Linked DNA regions of Schizosaccharomyces pombe. Changing the gene in region 1 together with any one later gene gives a genetic interaction. Each region holds a gene or a part of one and is shown in the gene's direction. Other genes may lie near its edges.

What was found.
Region 2: mutations in rti1 (region 1) and SPOM_SPAC5H10.07 together harm fitness more than expected from each alone (negative genetic interaction), as found in Schizosaccharomyces pombe (one large-scale study listed by BioGRID).
Region 3: mutations in rti1 (region 1) and SPOM_SPCC417.09C together harm fitness more than expected from each alone (negative genetic interaction), as found in Schizosaccharomyces pombe (one large-scale study listed by BioGRID).

What each region holds. Positions count from the first base shown.
Region 1 is NC_003423.3:744,239-748,280, forward strand, and holds rti1 (DNA repair and recombination protein), read left to right. Parts: upstream 1-1,796; coding exon 1,797-2,027; exon of another isoform or gene 2,028-2,125; coding exon 2,126-2,209; exon of another isoform or gene 2,210-2,362; coding exon 2,363-2,542; exon of another isoform or gene 2,543-2,600; coding exon 2,601-2,853; exon of another isoform or gene 2,854-2,905; coding exon 2,906-2,984; exon of another isoform or gene 2,985-3,029; coding exon 3,030-3,318; 3' UTR 3,319-3,496; downstream 3,497-4,042. Other genes in the region: protein Mdm35, read left to right, coding at 1-102; GTPase npa3, read left to right, coding at 3,614-3,671, 3,746-3,899, 3,956-4,042. UniProt on the Schizosaccharomyces pombe protein: Active in the repair of DNA damage and in mating-type switching. Probably involved in the repair of DNA double-strands breaks. Has a role in promoting S phase completion.
Region 2 is NC_003424.3:157,554-160,024, forward strand, and holds SPOM_SPAC5H10.07 (uncharacterized protein), read left to right. Parts: upstream 1-1,649; coding exon 1,650-1,919; downstream 1,920-2,471. Other genes in the region: alcohol dehydrogenase Adh4, read right to left, coding at 1-134.
Region 3 is NC_003421.2:1,690,645-1,696,659, reverse strand, and holds SPOM_SPCC417.09C (transcription factor), read left to right. Parts: upstream 1-2,075; 5' UTR 2,076-2,227; coding exon 2,228-2,574; intron 2,575-2,723; coding exon 2,724-3,144; exon of another isoform or gene 3,145-3,243; coding exon 3,244-3,833; intron 3,834-3,932; coding exon 3,933-4,878; 3' UTR 4,879-5,441; downstream 5,442-6,015. Other genes in the region: dipeptide transmembrane transporter Dal51, read right to left, coding at 1-934.

The sequences.
Region 1 (4,042 bases):
GACTGTGATGAGCTCTTTGCCGAGTACAAATCATGTCTTTTGAAGGCTTTGAAAACGAAAAAAATAGATCCTCTTCTTGAAGCAGCACGCAAAGAAGATTAAAGTAAGAGCATCTTTGGATATATGATTTTTAAGGTTGCTTTGAAAGATAGCAGTACCATGGAATAAAGCTCTTCTTTTAAAACGGGTGAAAAAGTGATAAGCATCTGTGCAATTGTAAGTTTATCAGAATTGTAGGTAACGAAATATCTCTGCCATGAAGCAAGTATACACTTCTAAAGGTGTTGTTTAAGAACATATGATTCGGCATATCCTTTTGCTGGCAAACCAATAATTCTCTAAAAGGGTAGTTGACTAAGATCATACTAAGTAAAATGATATGAACATCTTTTCATTGGACTCACCTTTGTAGAAAACTTGTAAGAATATACTTATAATCAAAGAATTGAATGGTATTCCTTCTTAATTAGTCTATTTTCACTTCGACATGCAAAAACATTATTTTGGCAAAAATTCGACACCAGCAGGATTTGAACCTGCGCGCGGAGACCGCAACAGATTTCTAGTCTGTCCCTTTAACCACTCAGGCATAGTGTCCAAGTCTGTCACTAAAAAATATATAACATATACATATTAACTACATCAGTCGCAGTTAAACAATAAAAATTTGAATGAATGAAAAAAAATACTGTAAATGTCAATTGATTTTTATCATTTTTAAATAAATAAAATTTGTAACTGTTAAGTCAAATTTCGAACCTCTACGTTTAGGAAAAGCTTTGCATGAATGTTCAGTATTTTCTTTATTAGTTTTGGAACTATTGTATTCAAAAGTACACTGAGTCCAGTAGTAATCAGTTCTGTTGAGAATTTCATACTATTGATTGTAATTGATATACGGTATTAAGAAGCTGAAAGTTGAAGTGCAGTCAATTTCCTTTGTAAAACATGTCTTTCATAGTTAGGTAGCAAATTGGTATATTAGAGTTTAATTGCAGATTATTAATCAAAAACAAATTTTTACCTAAAATATTATGCGTTACGCCAAATTTTGAGTCGTTAACCTAGCAATTGCACAAGGGCAAACAATAAAAACGAGTGGGTGATGGAATTAATAAGACCAGGTTTGTTTTTGCTAGCTTCTGCAGCGCAGTTTATTTATAGAAAATATTGTTATTATTTTTAGTTAATGAAAATTTGGGTTTTTTTATATATAATTTTCCTAAGAGTCGTATTTACATATATATAAACAAAAATATTAAAAATCGAAATACTTATCTCTAAAGAAATACATGTCAAAGCAAATCATTTTACAAATAAAGAAATTGCCTAAAAAAATTAAATCTCTTTCTAGCAGCCCATGAGTAATTTTATGCACACCATAGAGCACATTACTGTTTGTTTTGTTTTCTGGAGTGTACCAAGCATTTATAAATTGGTAACACAAAGCAAATACGTTCTTAAATGTAAGGTCGAAGGAAAGTGACTAGCAAGCTCAATTGTTCTTTTAGTGTATAATAGAACAGACATAATCTTCTCGAAATCTTATATGTTTAAAAGCTTTTTTTTTCTGCGTTATAAAATCATGCCTTTGTTTAAGGAAATAAATTGAGATTTTTTATTAATTTGCATTTTAAATTTGCTAGATTTTTTTTTTTTTGTTCATTCAATTGTCAAGGTCCAATGTTTACAGACGCGTAAACAAACAAATGTGACGTGGCGAAAGACGCGTATAAAAAACCCATTATTCTTCTTTTAACATTCCTTTAAATTAAGATCCCCAAAACATTTTCAAAATGGGCTCGCTACCTGATCAATCGTCTTGTGAAGAGTTTACTGATTCGCAACAGGATAAGATGACAAAACTGCTTGCTATGCAACTTGGCCCAGAGTATATTTCTCGCCGAAGTGGTCCAGGAGGAGGATCTGTTACATACTTAGAAGCATGGAAAGCAATTGAGCTCGCAAATGAAATATTTGGATTTAATGGGTGGTCTTCTTCCATTCAAGACATTCATGTCGATTATGTAAGTGTTAATTTTGCGTCAAAATTCTACGAAAAAAGTGCAAATCGTATCAATTCTTGAGCCTATATTTATTTATTTTTACTAATCATTATTAAAAGGTAGAAGAAACGAAAGAGAAAAAGTTTAATGTTGGAATCAGCGTTATTGTACGCGTTACATTAAAGGATGGCTCCTTTCATGAGGTAAACAAAACATGTCCTCAGTAATATTTCGTGATACCGGTTAAATTAATTATAGCAAATGGTATTTTTTTCGAAATAATTCATAACTTTTTCGTTCTTAACTATTCCATATCAGATTGTGGCCAATTTCTTGCTAACAAATGGTTTTTCTAGGACGTTGGATATGGATCTATAGAGAATTGTCGAGTGAAGGCATTAGCTTACGAAAAATGTAAAAAGGAAGGAACTACGGACGCATTAAAGAGAGCTCTTCGAAACTTTGGAAGTAGCATGGGTAACTGCCTTTACGACAAACGCTATATTCAAAAAATCTTGAAAATGGCACCTGCCCAGGTAATATGGAAACACATAAAATTTAAAAATAATTAAGCTGACAGAAATGCAAAATTAGGCTGAGTTCAACTACGACAACCTTTTACGCGCAAACAAAAGACCCTATGCACGGTTCGCTCAGAAAGTATCTACCCCTATAGAAAGCCATGCAAATAAAAGTGTTAAGCTAGAACATAAAAATTCAATAGAGAAGAAAATTTCCAATGTGGATAAACCTATATCAGATCTCATTGAGAATGACATTCATGAAAGTCTGCCAGCTCTGCAAAATCCCCCCATTCAAAGCCATTCAGAAACAGACCTTTACGCAGGTATAAAAAATTTATTAATGACCAAATTGAAAAACTAAACATAAAAATATAGATGAAGAACTGGACAGCATCCTTATGCATCACGAGCGCCCGCCTATTCCTGAGTCACCTAGGGTAGAAGAATTCGAGGAGTAAGACAGACCGATCAATGCGTGCGAATGCCGACTAACTAATAGATTATTAAACCAATTTGAAGGAGATGAAAAAGTTTCTGTTGACAAAATTGACGCACACGATAAAATGACCGAAGCTCAGGTTGTCAAGATTCCCCCAGTACAATTTATGAATGCACGTGTAGCAGCAGCAGAAAACCCACATATAAAGCACGAGGGAATGGCATTTCAGTTGCACAAAAAGAGTAATTCTATACTAAAATCATCTAATATAGACCACAACAGATCCATGCCTATACGACGTCCTTCGTTAACTTCAAACAACTCTGCAAACACGTTCTCAACGAAATAAAAAAAATAAAATTGAGTGAAACGTTCAATGGTATAAACTTTTAAACTGCTTGCGAAATAAATTGCTGTACAACGAACGTCTCAGTGAATTTAACTAACTATCTTTCTTCTATTGAATGCAAAATTTCGATTTTCGAGTTCATGAATCAATTTATTTTTTTAATATACTTTAAACAGAATTAATATGAATAATTAATATGAATTTTTAAGACGTTCAATTCAATTTGTGTTACCCAGTAGTTTTTTGAACTGACCTTTCACCTCTTCTTCCACTTGGTTCAAATAAGTAGATCAAAATGACAGATAAAGAGAAGAAGCCTTGTGCCATCATAGTTGTAGGAATGGCCGGTTCAGGTATGAATTTTTTTATAATTGAAAAACCAATAAAGCACTCAACGCAGCAATTTCTAATCATTTTCATGTAATAGGCAAAACCACCTTCATGCAACAACTGAATGCACACCTTCATTCAAAAAATAAACCTCCTTACATTTTAAACTTGGATCCTGCTGTTCGAAATTTACCCTATGAGGCAAATATCGATATTCGTGATACAATCAATTATAAAGAGGTTATGAAACAGTACGTTTGTCTATTCCAGAGTTACAAGATTTTGGGAAATTTTCTAATTCATTTAGATATAACTTGGGGCCAAATGGCGGTATTATGACAAGTTTAAACTTATTTGTTACAAAGTTTGATCAAGTACTAAAAATTTTGGAAAA
Region 2 (2,471 bases), on another chromosome or scaffold:
ACCTTAATAATACCAGGATCGGTAACAATTAAGGTGTTTTTGAAGCCGCTCATCTTAATTTGCTTGGCGGCTTCAGCAAGACAACCTTTACCGAAAAGGTTGAAAGAAGGTATGTAGAATGCGCTAACAGGCATGGCTTTCGAAGAGGTTGATTGATGCTTTAAGCCATTAGTAAAAGATTGATTACAAGAGGAATGAAAGAGTGACGGAAAGAATCGAGCAGGCGATCGAATTAAACGAAATGGAGAACGAAGAATGGACATGTTAAAAAGAAAATCGCATCTAAAGCTTAACCTCCGATATTTTTTAGAATCAATAATATACAAAGTATGAAAAAAAATAAATAATTAGCCAAACGGAAAAGAAATATGTAACAATCGGTCAAAAAAGTCAAGGGGGAATGAGCCTTAAGTAGTGTACGAAAATTTCTCCAATATCAATGTGTAATCAATTAGTGTCTAAAATTTCGATACTTCCACTCCTTATCTCGCTTAACGAACACTTATCGAACATCGATCTTTTTACAACAATTTCGCTAAATAGATCTGCAGCCAACTCCAACGTCAAATAAATGCTAAGGAATTAAAAGATCTTCAAATGATTTTCAAAACAAAATTGCTTGTCACCAAAACTCTTTTCCAAACGACATCAAATCACCTCCAAACTGTCATTCTTTCCGCCATTATCATAAATTTTACTTACCAAAAAGTAGAAGATCAAATATTTCTCTACCCAAAAGGAATTGGAATATTCTGAAGCGTCTTGAGTATGAAGAGCGCCATTATATACAATTGTCTGAGTAACAATTCCAAGCAATATGAATGGTCACATTCCGTTTCTTTTACCCTCAAGTTGATAGGCAGTAAGTTCGTCGTAAGACATATGTAACATTTTTAGATTCCTGGGAGAACTTTTCCAAAACAAAGCAACCCGAATTACTGCAAACTTTGTGATTTTGGCATGCATGCCATCCAAATGCCAAAAAGTGCGTTACCTTAACGTTGGAACAATTCTCAAAAAGGGTTTTTTTCGTTATTTGACGTGATCGTCGTCGATGCTGATTGGCAGTAAAACCTCAAGATCTTCTAGAAGATCCACGGATTTACCATGTTTATGTGGATCACTGCGGCTCTGTCTCCAAGGGGAATATACGGTCAAAGCAATCGCATTATCGCTGGTTCATCTTCCGGTTCTTCTGGACAATTTTTTTGCTTATCGTAAAATCGGAATGAGAATGACTGCTGGCAACGTGCCTCCGGAATTTTTAGCACACATTGTTTGGCATTTGCGGCGCTGTAAAAATTTATGTTATTGTTTGTAAGAGGAGCATCAGAGCTTAGTTGAAGTGTTGGGATGAATACAAAAGTTTCTGAATTGGTTTGAAAGCGACATCTTTAAAGGGATTTTATACTATTTCACTAAAAATTAAAAATTTCTCTTTGACTCAATGCCCTTTAAAAAAAAATTAAAACTTTTTTATATATGAAAACACTTGGGAATAATTACATGGGCCTTTTTTCATGATGATCGAACAAAGGGGAAGTATGTCTAAGCAATCCTAAATAAGTTTATCGTCAAGTAAAAGAAACACAACGTTTTATTAAGAACTTGTAAATTAACAAGCTCGATCATATCGAAAGTAAAACAGCATGACAGTCTTAACTTCATACAAATTGTATTGTGGGCCGGATTTTCCAGCCCCACTTGAAAAGAAGGAAAAAAGAGAGAAAGGAAAAATACGGAATATTAGTTTTTTAATAGTTTTGACAAAAGGGCCAATCTGGAAGGTTAGTTCAATGGAAAGCACCAGTTATAATGGGTGCATCGAAAACCTTGACTGTAAATTTAGAAAGTCATTCATTGAAGAAATAATAGCCTACGAAGGTTTTGGCAAATATATAGAGGTAATCAATTTTTAAATTTTTTTTTTGTCAAAAAGGAAACATGATTGCAGGTAATCAACATGATCAAATGTACCTTTTTTTTTGGTAATCGAACCCCCATAACCCAAGTAGTAATTAAAATCAAAGAAAGTAGCAAATGATGGAAATGGTCAAACTTGGATTTGATTGTTTCATAAGGTCAAAATTCATCTCACAAATGTTCGTTTTTGTGTTATTTACCAATACATCATTCTCCTTTAAGAGCAAACACCATTGGATGAAGTATTTAAAAATCTATTGACTTTTTAAACCCCATTCTCCTAAATATCTGTTAATCGCCCGATTGTATAGGAAACGACAGCATAGTGAAGGATTGGCGACATAAACTTTAGTATTCGAATGGGCAAACAAGAAAACAAATTCTAACATTAAACTATTTCGAGTGAAAACTATGGATAATTTCATTCAATAAAACGATGGTATTGGAATAAGTGTATTCCTTCAAACAAACTAAAAAGGACAGTAAAAGAAAGTTAAAACATAAAACTTTCACAGCGTCTCTGTTACATAAAAATCAGAGTTGTTAGA
Region 3 (6,015 bases), on another chromosome or scaffold:
ATGTACCGATACCACCATTGGGAATATTCAAAAGAACGGATGAGACAAACATAATCCAAGTACGAATATCAAGCATGGTTTCCTTAAACTGATACAATTTAAAGTGATTATTACCAACACCTTGCTTGTTGGCACGAAGACGCTTGACAACCAACTTACGATCTTCTTCAGTGAGAAACCAGGCTTTGAAAGGATTGTCGGGAACGACGGCAAGAATGACAAATCCCAAGAAAATGGCGAGGACACCGCAAATAATGAAAATAAGCTTCCAACCTCTCATGGGAAGACTGGTCCTCTTGGCCAAACCATAAGCCATGCAGCTACCAAGGATCTGACCCAAACCATTAAAAGCGACCCATACGGAAGTACGAAGTTGTTGTTCACTGCGCTTGTACCATTGAGCAGTGAGAAGAATGAAACCAGGACTGGCGGCAGATTCCATCATACCGAGAAGCACACGAAGAGCGATAAAGCCAGGATAGTTGGCAACTGAGGTCATGCAAAGCAAGAAACCCCAAATGACTAAGAAAACACACAAGGTCTTGGATAAAGGAAAGCGCTGAAGAAGAAGAGATGCAGGGAATTCGAAGACAAGGTAACCCAAGTAGAAAGCAGTACCTGACCAACTATACATTTGACCTTCCATCTTCAAGTCTTCTTTGAGACCCATGATAACGGCATAGGAATTTGAAGTTTTGTCCAAAAATTGGATGCAGTATACTAGACACATGACGGGGAAGATTGTGCAATCGATTTTGCGTACCAATCTACGCTCCGTTTCTGGATCGATCTCATCGTAGTCGACATCAAGGGCGTAATTGAAAGCAGCATCCACGCCTTTTGGCGAGAGATCGCCAACGTCGACATCGAGAATTTCCTTATTTTGGACACTCTCGGGATCTTTCAGCTTTTCGTCTATACTGATGCTTGACATTTTCTCGCTAGGCGCTTAAATATCTAAGCGGGATTATGGTAGTATGTCTAAAAGTAGTAGAGAAAGGAAAGGGAAAAAAGAAAAAAGAATTAAAATTAGAGGAGGGAAAAGAGAATGAAATTTAGTAAAAGCTATTTTCGCCAACACTTATAATGAGTGTAGTCGGGTTGTTTTTCTTATTGAGGATCGATATACTAATGAAATTGGCTTGTAGCATTGCAAGGTGATCCCTTCCTTTTAAACCAGGCAGACAAGCTCTTGACTTGGTTATCTGGCATCCACCCTCCGGTTGGTGTACCCGGTTTGTAATCTCGAGTATGTTCACTGCATCGCACATTTTCCTACATACCAAAAATTCTACTGTTGCACCTATCATTAAACATTGCAATACCTACCAACTCTACCTGGTTTTAGCACTAAATACCCGATATCGTGCTACCCCATTGTTCCTCCAAAGATCTTCTGAGCCCGGAGATATAGGAGAACTTGATAATGTTAGGTAAATTGGCAAAGTTGATGCGTCAGTCTCCTATCTATTCGTCAAGTTTCATCGTTTAAACAAACATCCAAGATCGGATATCAGGGGCGTAAAAACCGTAAATACTTGATAAAATAAATAAATGATGGAATGAAACGCTTCCTAAGCAGTCGAGCCAACATTGGGTCTTGCATTTCTAACTTTGCAGGAATTTCTTGATGAGAAATGGGGAAATCAAGACGCATATCATTCATACGTTGATTTTTCCTCATCCCAACGCTAACATCGAGCTCCCAACTCATTTTTTAAATTTTTCGTCCAAGCACTCATAGCGCAGCTTATCACCACTTACCACATATACTAGTGTAAAACAGTACTGATCGCTCGCCATGCTTAGATATGATTCCACCAAGATAGCAATAGATGTCTAAGTCGGCTATAGCCACCGGAAATATAATACACTAAGACACTGGGTATACCAAGAAGAAATGATAGTGTCATCCATCAAGGTCATTATTTCGGATTTAGAAAGGCTAGTGATATTTCTCTAAAAATTGCACAGTGATTGTGGAAATGCGGTGGAAGCCGTGGGGCTATCAGGATAGGATTGCTAGGCATGCCGCCATTTCCAAGATAATGGGCGAGTACGCAAACGTGCAAACCACTGTTAACGGATGGGCCCCGAGATCTCCGAGAGCGAGGAGAACTGGAGCTGGAGTTGCTGGAGTGAATTCCATACACAAAAATCGAGGGTTTTCTGTTTGGATAAATAGCTTAGAATAGTAAATGCTTGAGTTCCGCTGCATTCTCACTGCATGCATGCTAGGATGCAGCCCCATGAGGATAGGAGTCGTAGTGGCATGAGTAGAAGCGAAGCTATGGAGTTGGAGGATCAACTAGAGGAAGAAGAAAGGGGTGGTAATGTTGTTGTTGGCAGCAGCAGCGCGAACGCGAACGCGAGCACAGCAGAAACTGGGAAGAAGAGCGCTGGAGGCTCAAAACCGAAAAGAAGAAGAGGCGAGCGAATTCCACCTTCAAAAAGGATTCGAAAAGCTATTGCGTATGTAAATAAATATGCATCTGGTTGTTTTGGTCGAGTTGAAAGACGTTTAGTTTGTACGCGTTCGATCAGCCGCCATTCCAACCAAAAGTTGCTTGATTTGTTTGTTATTACTATATTTATTGTTTTCGTATTATTTAGTTGATCTATTGAATTATGTAGTTGTTTCTTTATTTCCTTACTTTACAATTTTTTTTTGGTTTTATTTTTTCTACTTTTTTTTTGTCTATTCATTCAAATGCTAATATTAGTTGTGTGGAATGCAAAAAGCATAAAATCAAATGCGTCGGTAACTTTCCCTGTGGCAGATGTCTTAAAAAAGGATTAGAATGCGTAATAGAAACTCCTCCTAGATTGCTTATGAATAAAGACGAAATTTCTCTCAATCTTCAGAGACTCAGTCATATGGAGACCATCCTTTCTAAACTCATGCCAAGTATGAGCTTGGATTTGCCCAGCTTGGAAGCAAAGATTGCGGAGCTTAGTGAAAGCCTTCAAACCTATCCTGATAAAGTACTTACCGACATCGAACTTGGAAGCTATCAACAAGTGACTTTGAATGAGACACAGACATATTACGAAGATGCCGGCTCTAACGAAAGCTTCGTCGCTCGCGTGCACGAGATCATTTGCCAGGGCAGGGAATTTCAGGTGCAGCATAAACTCACTAACGTATGTATTGATGGATTCATCTACTTCATTTCATACCCTTGCTATGTTGTGGGGCATCATCGATTTTACTGTTCTTTACTAACCCGTTTTTCTCAATAGAAAGGAAATAAAACATTTGAAGATATTTTAGATCCCGCCGATAATACTGTCGCCTCTTTAATCCATGCATTACCCCCAAAGGATATCACTTTTTATTTACTTATGACATTTTGGCAATTTTCTAGTGACAACAACCATTTTTATTATAATACCAAGCTGTTTGCTGCAAAAGTCCATCATCTTTTCGATGATCCAACTTCCTTTCAATCAAAAGATGGTGGTTTTGTGTGTATGCTTCTTCTGAGCATGGCCATGGGCAGTCTATTCTCCTACATTCGCCATCCAGAGTTCCTTTCTGATGAAAATCACGATCGTTGGACTTATCCTGGCTCTCAGTTTTACCAAAACGCCAAACTTCTTTTTCCCAAAGTCATCAGTGAATCGTCGTTGGAAACAGTACAGTCTTTCTTCCTAGCCGGTATGTATTTGTCTCCAACATTGGCACACGAAGTTGTATACATGTACTTTGGTATAGCTATGAGAGCTGCTGTTGCCAATGGTATGCACAAAAAGTCTGCGAATGCTCAATTTTCCGGAGATGTTGCTGAACTTCGTAAACGGCTTTTCTGGAGTGTATATTGCATGGAAAGGTAAGGCTGTTGAAAACTTCCCAAGATTCATGTCTGGGAAGAAGAAGAGAATTTTTTATTATTCCTCCTCATTATTTTATGCTAACGTTTAACTTTTAGAAAAATAGGTATTTCTCTGGGCAGGCCCGAGAGTCTTGTGCGTTCCGAAATTGATATTCATTTTCCAGAATACCGTGAAAGTTTAGATTCGCAAAACTTCATTGCCAGCTTCCGGACCTTCACCTTAGCTATTAAAATTTCCCTTCTAACTAATAAAGTCTATGACATGTGGTATTCCTCGCTACATGGAAAGGCGAACTTAAAAGCAGCTACCATTAAAGAGATTGTAAACGAAATTGAGGCATGGCGCCAACAACTGTCTCCTGATCTAGAAATACAAAACATTGGCCCAGATAGCAGGTCTTACAGAGGTATCGTTCATTTGCATCTAGCTTATCATATTGTTCGAATTGCCATGGGCCGACCGTTCTTACTACACCGGCTTCGTGAAAGAACGATGAATAGTAAGACGGATGAGGGAGCTAGGCTTCTTACTGATAAGTTAATTTCATACTGCTATTCATCCGCTTTGCACATTGTCGACCTCCTTGTACTACTAAGAATGCACAAATTTCTATCTGTCTATTCATTTATGGATTACCATTCATGTCATGCCGCCTCTTTTATCATTCTGGTGCATCTTCTAATCAACCCGTCTGAACAAACGATCGAACAACTGAATACGGCTATTGACATTTTGAATTTTGTTACCGACAGATTTCCACTTTTAAAAGGAAGTACGGATGTCATAACTAACTTGCGGGCATTTGCTGAACAAAGCGAGGTATATCAATCAAGGCTTAATGCTACCGAACCAGCTTATTCGACGCAGGTGCCTTTCTTCCCTAGAGATGCTGATTATCATAATCAAATCAACCTACAAAATCTTTGGAATGATGAAAATATCAATGCCTCACTAGAGGCACTTTTCAATGATGCGAAGGGTTTTGGCTTTTTACTCCCCGCTGATAACTTCATTTTCCCTAGTGACGATGGAGACATGTAATGATGGCTTTCTTTCGAAACTACTCAAACCTGAATTTTAAAAAGGTCGATATTTTAATTTACCCTTATTCTTTTCTCCTAGTTGGTCTACCTTACTGAACATATTTACTATTAAAGCAAATGAAACTGAAAGTTAACCCTTTTTCCCATGGTCACATTGCATCCTTTTTTTATATGATCAAATCATGCTGATTTGACCAAATCCTTTTCCAAAAAAAAAAAAACAAAAGATAAAAAAAATAGGCAGTTGCATTTTTTAATGAATACATAACGTGCATAACTGTTAACACAATTTTACTTCTAACTTTATTGTATCTTTCCTTTTGTCTTATCTAGATTAAACCCGTTTTAATGGTTCTCAATTAGAAGCAATTGTTTTAGCTTGGTTTCTAATTACCCTCTTAAAGGAATTAAAGGCTTCAATTGACGAGTGTTGAATTATTGAACAGAAAACTGTACATACACATATACAGTTGCGATTCGCTGAGTATGATAGAAATTTTCGTTATTTCATTTTATGGATATTAGCAATTCAATATTTTAAGTATCATAAACAAGCTGAATTGACAATCATTTTAACGTATAGTCCTTTTGACTTTCACAGTCTCATATAAGTTTCCTTGTGTAAACGATAACTATGGAAATACTGGATAGCGTCTGCAATCAAGAATGAAAAATAATAACTAGAAATGAATTCAACTAACTGATTAAAAAAAAGGAGCCTACAGCACCCCGGATTCCCATGTTGTCTCCAACCATAGTACTAACGAGGCCCTCAGACGCTTAACTGCAGTGATCGGACGGGAACTGGTGTTTTCACCTAGGTATGGCCGTAGACGTTCGATAATGTAATAAATGATTTTTATAGCGTTCATTAGGGGAATGGATAAAGGTTCTTTAAATTTATTTCAGCCAATATTCCCTTAAAGAGTTTCTAGTTGGACGATTTAACTAATTGATTGACTCAAAATTTAACAATTATTATAACGCTTTTGTATATTTCTCTTCAACTTTTCTACCAAAGAAAAGGCTTCTCTTGATGACTAAGTATTCGACTGTCAAGTTTTGTCAATTTAGTCTCAAATATTTCGGTCATGGAATCATGCTTCCTCAGAGCTTAAAATAGGATAAACGAATT